2 linked regions of the Tribolium castaneum genome follow. The protein of the gene in region 1 purifies or fractionates together with the protein of each later gene. This does not show direct contact. Links are inferred from orthologs where the notes say so. Each region holds a gene or a part of one and is shown on either strand. Other genes may lie near its edges.

What was found. Proteins that work in one complex are often made in the same cells at the same time.
Region 2: the proteins of cos (region 1) and Su(fu) purify together in Drosophila melanogaster (affinity purification with western blotting; 3 studies listed by BioGRID, with this or other methods). This does not show direct contact. The link is inferred for Tribolium castaneum from reciprocal best matches to the Drosophila melanogaster genes cos and Su(fu).

Annotation. Positions count from the first base shown.
Region 1 is NC_087402.1:2,906,715-2,911,578, forward strand, and holds the start of cos (kinesin-like protein costa), read right to left. Parts: upstream 3,016-4,864; 5' UTR 2,885-3,015; coding exon 2,883-2,884; exon of another isoform or gene 2,837-2,882; coding exon 64-2,836; 3' UTR 1-63. Other genes in the region: mRpL48 (large ribosomal subunit protein mL48), read right to left, coding at 3,092-3,259, 3,309-3,569, 3,616-3,720; uncharacterized protein LOC103312599, read right to left, coding at 3,944-4,048, 4,107-4,166, 4,213-4,514, 4,559-4,640. UniProt on the Drosophila melanogaster protein: Regulates cubitus interruptus (ci) processing by recruiting multiple kinases to promote its efficient phosphorylation.
Region 2 is NC_087397.1:4,508,051-4,512,780, forward strand, and holds Su(fu) (suppressor of fused homolog), read left to right. Parts: upstream 1-1,755; 5' UTR 1,756-2,001; coding exon 2,002-2,150; intron 2,151-2,372; coding exon 2,373-2,465; intron 2,466-2,509; coding exon 2,510-2,917; intron 2,918-2,968; coding exon 2,969-3,370; intron 3,371-3,421; coding exon 3,422-3,701; 3' UTR 3,702-3,978; downstream 3,979-4,730. Other genes in the region: Lrrk (leucine-rich repeat serine/threonine-protein kinase 1), read right to left, coding at 1,020-1,185, 1,240-1,437, 1,487-1,540; uncharacterized protein LOC107399185, read left to right, coding at 4,317-4,317, 4,370-4,563, 4,614-4,730.

The DNA of each region.
Region 1 (4,864 bases):
CATTTATTTGATAAACCACGATTACATCATTATTGTCCTACCCTAGCCTACAATAAATTACAATTAGTTCTTGTTGGTTTTCTGCAGAATGATTTTGTTTTTCTCAATGGTGACCTTGGCCTGTGGGGGCACCGATTGCAGCTGTCTCGGAACGGTCTCCTGGCGGTATCGCGTCCACTTCGCTATGAACCTATTCTTGTCCACTTGTTTACTGGCGCCTGCCACTTGAACCGTCACTGCGGAATGTCTCGACCCCAAGACCCGACTTATCCTCTCATTATCAGCCCCATCTCCCGTCAGGTTCCTCAAGACCAAGTACAACTTGTCTTCGTGTTGTTGCTGGAGCGAGGCTATCCTCCGTTCAGCGTCAGACCTAACCAGTTGTAAGTTATGACTGAGTTTTTGCACACGATATGCGAGATTTTCGTGTTGGTTTTCAATATCCAAAATCTCCAAATCGAGCTTTTTGCTGCTGCTCCTCAAATCGATAATCTTCTCGAAATATCTATGAAGGAGGATCCTCATTTCGTTCTCACTCAGTTTGAGGAACCGCTCCATCAGCATCCGATCGCCATGATCCTCAATCTCTTTGACTGGCAGGTGCCCACACAAAATCGAGTTTTTGTATTCTATGATCAAGTCTATTGCCTCAATAGCCTCCTCGTACTGCAGCAACTTGCGTTCGTCGGAGTCGTTCAGGAATTTTTTATTCTGGGATTTGAGCGTGATTTTGCACCGCAATTCTAATAAATAGTCGCGGGTTTTGCGCAAGTTGCGAATTTCGTGTCTCAGACTTTCAAGTTCTTCGCTATTTAGCGAAACGTTTGGTTTAATTAAAGCAACGACTTTAACATCGGGGGTTTTCGGCACGCTCTCGCAACTCGCTTTCGACTTAGAGCGCTCCTCCTTCAGCTGTTTCTCGTAGATTTGTTTATACTTTTCTTTCTCTTGTTTGTACTTTTTCAACTTCTCCCGATCTGTATGTAGACTACTTTCTAATTCTAGCAATTTGTTCCCGTCTTCGGTCAGGTTTTTCAACGATTCGGTGTCTCGCAGTCGCTCCTCAAGGGCCACAACTTCGCTCTTGTATTTCCCTTCCAAGTGGTGATTTTTTTGTAATTTCGCTTGCAAGAACTTGACCTCGGCGTTTTTATACTCCTTGCGTAACAACTGGCATTTTTGTTCGATTTTATGGTGAGCACTCGATTTTGTGTCTTTGTGCTTCAGGAGCTTTTCCATGAGGTTTTCCTTGACCCGAATTGTTTTTTCCAAATCAGAGATCTTTTTTTGATTCAATTCTAACGCAGTGGCGATTTGTTTAAGGATTTTCTTCTTGTTATCGTACGACGTAACTGCGATTTTTTGACTCTCGACATCGTCATTAATACGTAACGTATTGAGGGACAAGCAAGGGTTTAGTTCTTCAGCCGAGTGGATACTCCCTCTGCGCCCCCGTGCCCCCTTCATATGATACTCATTATTCGAGCTATTCATACTTTCTTTGGTACAAGAATTCGTAACGTTTGCACAATTAGCCTCAGAGACTAATTTATCGGTGTTTGAGCGAAAAGTCTCCATCAAACCTTGAACCCTATCAAGGAGACTCTCCTTCTCCTCCTCCTCAATCGCCTCGCTCTCACTACTATCACTCTCAATTTCCTCCTCAATCCGCTCGAGTGATCTATGAGGCTCTGAATTTTCACTCAAACAGTCTTCGCATTCTTGTTTGAGCATCAACCACTGTGATATTTGTTCTTGTTCGCTTTTTGGTAACAAGTCGTTCGCTACCAATCGTTGGAACAACTCTTCAGCGTTCGAGACAAGTTTCAGGAGTTGATTGGCGGCGAACTGTAGGCCGAAAACATCACAATTCTCTTGTGTTGACTCAAACGTAGCGTATGAGTTAACAGTGACGAAATTTTTGATCATTTGAGCCCTCAAACCCAACTGAAGTGTATACAAAGTCTCGGTGAAGTCTTGAGCAAGGGGGGACACGCAACAGATCAGAAGTGTCTTTGCGCGCCCCCCGAACGAGTCTTTCAGTAGTGTCGTCAAAACGGATTGAGTGTACGGCACAAAACTGCAGTTAAAATCAGACAGCGACATAATACACCTCTGTAAAGTCTGTATCCCTAAATCAGTGGGAATCGTTTGCATCATCCCGTTGCTGTCATAAACTAGAACTTTCTCAGTCCCTGCCAAATCGGCAAAACTCGCAGTTGAGACGCGATGTTGCACACTTGTCTCCACCACCCACTGCTGCTCCAAAGTGAGTGTGAACAACGTGTGGGCGCACTTGGGGGCTATATTCGACATTCCGACTTGAATCAACTGAAACACGTCACTGATATTCCGGCACTCGATGCTCCCAACGCCTAGCAAATCCTGGACGTTTTCGCCACAAATCTGCGACCAAGCGATATGCACGCACCAATTCCTGTCTCTGTATTGTTTCATTTTGGCGAAAACTTCGCGAATAAACCGCGGGATAATCCCGTGATCAGCCTCGCTAGCCGCACAGTGGAAACCTGGGCCTAGGAGCGTGTAGGACTTTCCAGTCCCGGACTGGCCCAGCGTGACCACCGAAACATCGCACCCTTCCACCAAATAATTCACCAAAGGGGCTGCCGTGGTTGTGAACACCGTGTTTTGGCAACAGTCGGCTGGAAGGGCGTAATTGACGGGGTAGTTTTGCGAATTCGCGAGTTGGATGGTGTTGTTGACGGGGTTGGAGTGCACGCAAACCATGTCGTTGGGGGAGTAGCCCGACGTATGGATGCGGACCGCCGTTTCTATGTGCATCTCCATCCTGGGAGAATTCAACCCATTGTATAACCTAAAATTTACAATTGAGTTGGGGGCTGGATAGTGGTGGGAATTACATAATGGGGGCGAAGTACCTGGCGGTTGCGGCGGTTTGGGTTAATTTATTAAAAATCAATGGATTTTAAATGCATTTTACAGCTGCCTCAAACAACACAACTGGGGAGTTTGGGTTTAGCACTAGGAGGGAACAAAATGGAGGATTTAAATAAAAGCGGCAAACGAGTTAATTAATCATTTTTATTAGACTATTTATGAATTAACATTTTTATTTCTTCTTCAAAGGCCCCCCTAAGTCGTCCAGTTCCTGTTTCAATTGTTTCAACTCCGTGTCAGGCACGTATCTAATCTCCTCGTCCCACTCTTCATGAGGCCGCACGTGGACGGTGATCCCCGATGGGGTACTAGCCTCCAGTGCACGTAAAATAACAGGCAACTGCAAATACGTGCCAGTTTCAAGCATTTCACTTTGAAAAATTAAATACCTGAGTTGATAAAACATCAGTAATTTGTACTGTCCGATCATAGTGCTTCAAATTGTACTGTGTGTTGATAATTTCACTCTTCGGTTTATAGGTCGTGACTTGAATGTCTTGATGGGGGGTTGCCCAAGCTTCCTCCACACTTATATCCATACTTCGCAATAATTTATGAATAAACTTTTGATAATTTTCCAATATGGCATAATCGTAGCCACGAATTTGAATATTTAAAGTGTCGTACATTGGAAGATTCGATTTCATGGCCTAAAAAATGTTTTTTGGGTAACTTTAAGAGGTTATATTTGGTTACCTCGAGATAATCGGGCTCGTAGAGGTTGTTCCCGAATGATTTGGGCGTCTGGTGCAAGAAACGGCATTGAAGAGCCCTACGTGTGACCCTCAATAAATTATTCATAGTATAAACTGGAGAACTTAAATTCTTTAGCGGTTACCTCCAACAAATTTGAGGTTATGTGGTCCACTTTTTTTTGATTTTGATTATAAATAAAGATAAAAAAACAACAAAACCTTTATTTAAATTTTTCTGTTACAAGATGTAAATGTAAACGTTACAAATGGTCGCTATCTGGAGACTATGGAATGTGATTTGCGTAATTGCCGATTATTAAACAGAAAAATTATTCCTTTACTTTGAAGATCTTTTGTACGTTACATAAATATTCCCTCCTGATCGCATATTGGTAATAAAAATAGAGTTTTCTACTAAAGTAAACATACAAAATCTGGAAAAAATATTTGTGGTTCATAAAAACAGTAATGACTCGTCAATCTATTAATTACCAAATAAATGCAGAGACTCGCCAGAATGAACAAGAAGTAGAGTCTGCTATCAGCTTTAGCCTACGATTGAATACTTTACTTTATTTCTCAATAAAAGACAATTTACCTTTTTCACTTTGACAAACGGCAAATATTGTGCTATGTAATATTCGTCGCTTATTTCAGGCAAGTTTTCCGTCACTAATTTATAAACCTGATCCATGGCAATCCCCATGTGGTTCAAAACGGGGCTTACATGATGCACATAGAAAGCCACAAAAGGCCCAACGTACGTATCAAAAGTCTGGTCAAGAAATTGCCTAAGCGATTGTGGTGGTTGTTTAACGCTTTCAGCGGCTATATTTTCTCCAGTCGAGATAGTAAACCTCGGAAAAGTAAAGTAACGGGTGCAGGTTTTCTCGTTTTTACCTAAAAATACCGCAGTTATGGATTGTTACGCATAACCGACTCACTTGTCTCGGAGCATATCGGGAAGTAGTATGCGTGTCCGAAATTTAGGCAAAAGACAAGAAAAAGTGCTGAAATGACTTTCATCACGATGATTTTTCTAATAAAATTATGCCAAACAAATTTTGAAAAATTTAGTAACTTTCGTTACTAGGTTTTGCGCTAGCAACTTTAGCTGCGTGAATCACGCATGTTGGCGAAATTGTACGGTTGTGATTGAAAAGGAGCTGCGAAAGGGGTGAACGAAAGGGGAGTTCGAAATTTAAATTTATTCACGTTTTGGTAATTGCCATTTAAATTTAATAATCAAT
Region 2 (4,730 bases), on another chromosome or scaffold:
ACGAGAGCCAAAATGACACCTGCTTAGATTAATTTACAAAGTTCATGGAGCAATGAGCCTCTTTTTTAAATATACAGTTATACATACAAATTAAGTACGGCTTAATTTTAAAAATGGAAAAAATATAAAAACTAGCCTTGTAATTACCAGTTAGTAATTACTGTACTCTGAGCAACAATATTATGACAAAAATCTCGAAATAAAAATAATAATTAAACGTAGTTAAATAGATAAAATTTTGCAGTGTTCATATGACTGGATTATGTAATCAAGAATAACCCGAAAAAATTCTCATTTAGTGCCGTACCTTCCTAGGTACTCATCTTAATTAATCCGTTTAAAAAAAGCATAATTAGTAAAATACTTTTACTAATGAATTAATTACATCAATTTAAAAAAAATGTTTTAAAAAATGGCTTAGTTGATCACACAAACAAAATTGGTAGCAAAATTATTATGTAGAACGAAGTCTTAAAAATTGTATTAAGATTTAATCTTAAGTACAAATAGACACTGTTTTATAAAAAGAATTGGCTTATCTAATAATTTAAGGTATTTCCGTTAATTTAATTGATAGAGATTTAATGCAAACACAAATACAGCATGTAATTCGTGACTTAGGCAAATTTTATTAATATGTCTCAAAGTTTACACTTTTGAGTAACATTTTTTTATTGCGTCTTCACTTTTATTTTGGCCAATTTTATTTGTTGTGTTAATCAGTCACAGTATGTTTAAAATTCCAAAGTAGAGAGTTTGTATAAAAAAATGTTATACACTAATAAAAACAAAAGTTGGAAAGTATTCTTCCGGCTTTTAAATTAATCTAAATAATAACTACAAAGTGTTCCAAGACATACAAATACTTTTAAATTAAGTCACTCAGAAAATGTACATTTTTTATGTACATTATATTACATAATGTCCTGTTGTACAAGAGTTTATAATCACTGACAATAAGTATTCGTTGAGCAGTATATAACCCTGAGAAAAAAATTGAATAGGGATTATTTACTTACCCACAGCTTCTTTCAATAGTGTTACACACTTCACATGCCCCGCTTTTTCAGCCAGATCGAGAGCACTCATTCCATTCGCATCCAGAATTTGAATATCTGAATCATGCTGCAGTAAAATTGAGACATTACTGTTATGCCCATGTTCGGCACTTAAATGCAAAGGAATCTAAAACGAGAGCAATTATTTTCCTACAACTGCTAAAATTAATTAAAAACAAACCTTCTGGTCGCCTCTTGGGCCGCACCGAATGTTAGGATCGGCCCCTGCATTTAGTAAAATTGTCAAACACCCTGAATTATCATTAATAGCAGCTGCATGTAGGGGGGTTCTCCCCCAACTGTCCTGCGAGTTCAGGAAGGCCTGTTGGCCCCCTTCTAGCAAGTCCATGAGTAAATGTGTGTTGTCCCATAACGCGGCCTTAAAACAACAATCAAATTTTGCAAATTAACTAGTTAAAGGAACGAACCTGGTGTAGGAGCCGGCCTGGAAAATCTTCGTCTTCAGGCGAAGAATCCAACATTGTGGCGATCGATAACGCTCCCAACACCTACATTACACAAACGCGGAAACTAACACAATTTCGTGCAAAAACCGCGAAGCGTTTCAACGATAATAATTTCGCAACGATTGAGAAATACAAAAATGTCCTTATTTTGACTGCTGGATTAGAGGTTAGTTTAATTGTCGCAACGACAAGCAACCTAACAACGCCAAAAGCCACCCCTTGCACCCACTTTTCGAACGGGCTCTAGGGAAATTTCTGTTTGGTGAGTTACCGAGCCAGGTTACTCTTGTTTTGTTTGGCGGGTTGCCTAAAAGTTGTTCCTGCATTCTTGAAATATTTTCTTTTATTGGTCTGGACGGAAGTGTAAAATGTTCTAAAGTGGTAACAAACGGCTAAATATAATACTTTCTGCCGATTTCTAGTAAGTAGAGGTGTTGGTTTGTAAAGTTTTAAAGTTGGGGGGGCCCAATAGAACAATGAATGAAGCTGCTGCTCTGCCCCATGGACCCCCAATGAACATTCTGCCACCGACACCAGCAGGTTTGGAGTCTTTGTACACGCTATGTAGGAAAATTTACCCCGATCAAGCCAACCCCCTTCAAGTCACGGCCCTCATCAAGTACTGGCAAGTGATTTTTGCAATAAAATTACATAATTCGTTTAATTTAACGTACATGTAATTATTTTGGCAATTGCCGGGCTTATAATTGTGCGAAATTTCCATTAAATTAAAATTTGACTCAGGTTCTATTTATAGTCACTTCCTGTTTTTTCTGTCTGCTTCCCTTGTATGTAAACAGGGGAGCTGACCTATTTTATTTTTAAACGAGGGGATACTTTTTTATAGGCTGGGAGGGCCCGATCCTTTAGATTACATATCAATGTATGCAAATCCAGGCATTCCACAAGAAAACATTCCTCCACATTGGCACTACATAAGGTAGCAATCTTTTAAGTGAAATATTTAATAAACGAAAATTTTAGTTTTGGTCTCTCAGACCTTCACGGTGACGGGCGAGTGCACGACGTGTCAGGAGCTAATGGTGTTTCAGGTTTTGGTTTTGAGCTAACATTTAGGCTAAAACGGGAGCCTGAAGAGACGGCACCGCCCACCTGGCCCGCAACTTTAATGCAATCTTTAGCGAAATACGTTTTTCAGTCAGGCAACACTCTTTGTGCTGGTGACCACGTTTCCTGGCACTGCGCGTTAGATAGCAGCGAGTCACGAATACAGCACATGTTGATGACCACAGACGTGCATTTGAAGTCAATACAGACGCCTTTTGGTTCTGTCGATTTCGTCCAAATTGTTGGTATTTGCGCCGAGGAGCTGAAAGCAGCCCAGCAGTGGAACGGGGCCGGGGTGCTTGATATGATAACTAGAATACCGTCGTAAATCGCACCACCAATCACGTTTTCGTAAAACTTAAGTCTGGGTTTTAGTGCTGGGGGGCCTTGGTTTATCACGGATATGAGGCGAGGGGAGAGCATTTTTGAGCTTGATTTAAACGCGCACGAGGAAGTCGAGCGAGGGTTTGAGTTAGAGGGCTCCAATTTGAGCGGAGTCAGCGCTAGGTGTTCATGGGTTGAGCAAGACCCTGCTCGTATTGACATAATGCATTTGAAAGAAAAGTCCGATTGTGACAATTTCCAAGCTCAAGAGGACGTAACTCTGTTAAATTCACCTCAAAAACCGCTACAGAGTGGCAACTTTGAACAAAACCGCTCCAGTAGCACCAATTTCAAAATGGACGAGTCAACTGAGTTGTTGCACATAAAGAAATTAGAGGGCGTCCATTTGGTTTTTAATTTGGAGGCTGGGAGTTTACTCCCTTTGGCCATCAGGTGAGGGAATTTTACGTGTTGGTGTTGTTTCTATTTTTTATTTTTGAAAAGGGGGCGCGTACGACATGGTAGACATTTCACATTTAAGTCAGTTTTGGGTGAAACTGCCATAACACTAGTGGCAGGTACGGTTACAGGGACGTTGGTGAACTCAGAACACCCTTATGTAGCTCAGGGTTCATGGCTACAAATACTTATTACCGACGATTTAGCTCAGGATATGGCGGTTACTTTTCAAGTTCTGGCCACTCCAGAGGCGCTTTCTTTACCAAAAACATTCTCATGGCCCGACAAAAAGTTATCTGTGACTATTGTAGCGGACAAGTTATAGTATTTACAGTTATCTCATTAATCATAATAAGACTAAAATAGGTTTAATTTAGCCTTAGTCTCACGAAATAATCAAAAGCAATATGTAGGCATATTTCTTATCTTAGGTTTACTCAATTAATTTATTACATTATTTATTATTACCTAACTTAAATAGAACAACCCCCCATATGCTATACATATCGGATTTAAAGTACAAAAAGTAACCCATATTATGTACCATAGACCTGTAAACTGTCCCACTTGATTCTAAACGAATAAAGATGCTTTCTTTTGAATTAGGTTTTTTATTTTTATACCATGCTTTCTAATTTTTTTATCGAAATGGCCTGTGAAATTAAGTCGTTTGATTTACTTCATACGCGCTATCAGTCGTGACGTCACCTCCCCACTCTTATTACGGTAGGTCAGTTGCTCAAAGCTAAACAACCAGTCTTTTACATGTGGTGTAATACGTTTTTCGGTTTTTTGGTTGTGTTTGTGCGTTAATAACGTGTCAAATAGCTGCAGCGGGTGTAATTTGTGCCACTAGAGACTTTAATTTAATTTAGAAGTGACTTTTTGTGAAAATACGAACTTTATAAAAGAATACAGGGAACCACGTTGTCGGTGAGAAAGTGAGTAAGCTTTAATTATACTTTGAGAAACTATTATATTTATGCATTTTAGTGGCAGAAAAGCACATTGTTAAGTTTCACTTTATTGCGAAATTTTTTGGGGACGGTAATCGCTTTTTAGTTCGGGGAGAAAATGCTTTTACCAGCGGTCACGTCACCAAATTTAGGTTTGATGGCACAGTACAACCGATGAGAATTTCTGCAGAAGTTCTACCGAGCATGAAAAAGCTAAATTATACTGTGGAGGTTTGTATTTATTTAACTGTTAGACATTTCTTCTACAAAGTGTGTTTTAGATTTCATATGACCTAGAAGAAGGGGTTAAGACGGCACATTGTACCTGCCCAAGGGGCAACGTGGCTTGCCATCATATGGCTGCAGCATTATATTATGCTCATTATAATGTAAGTGCT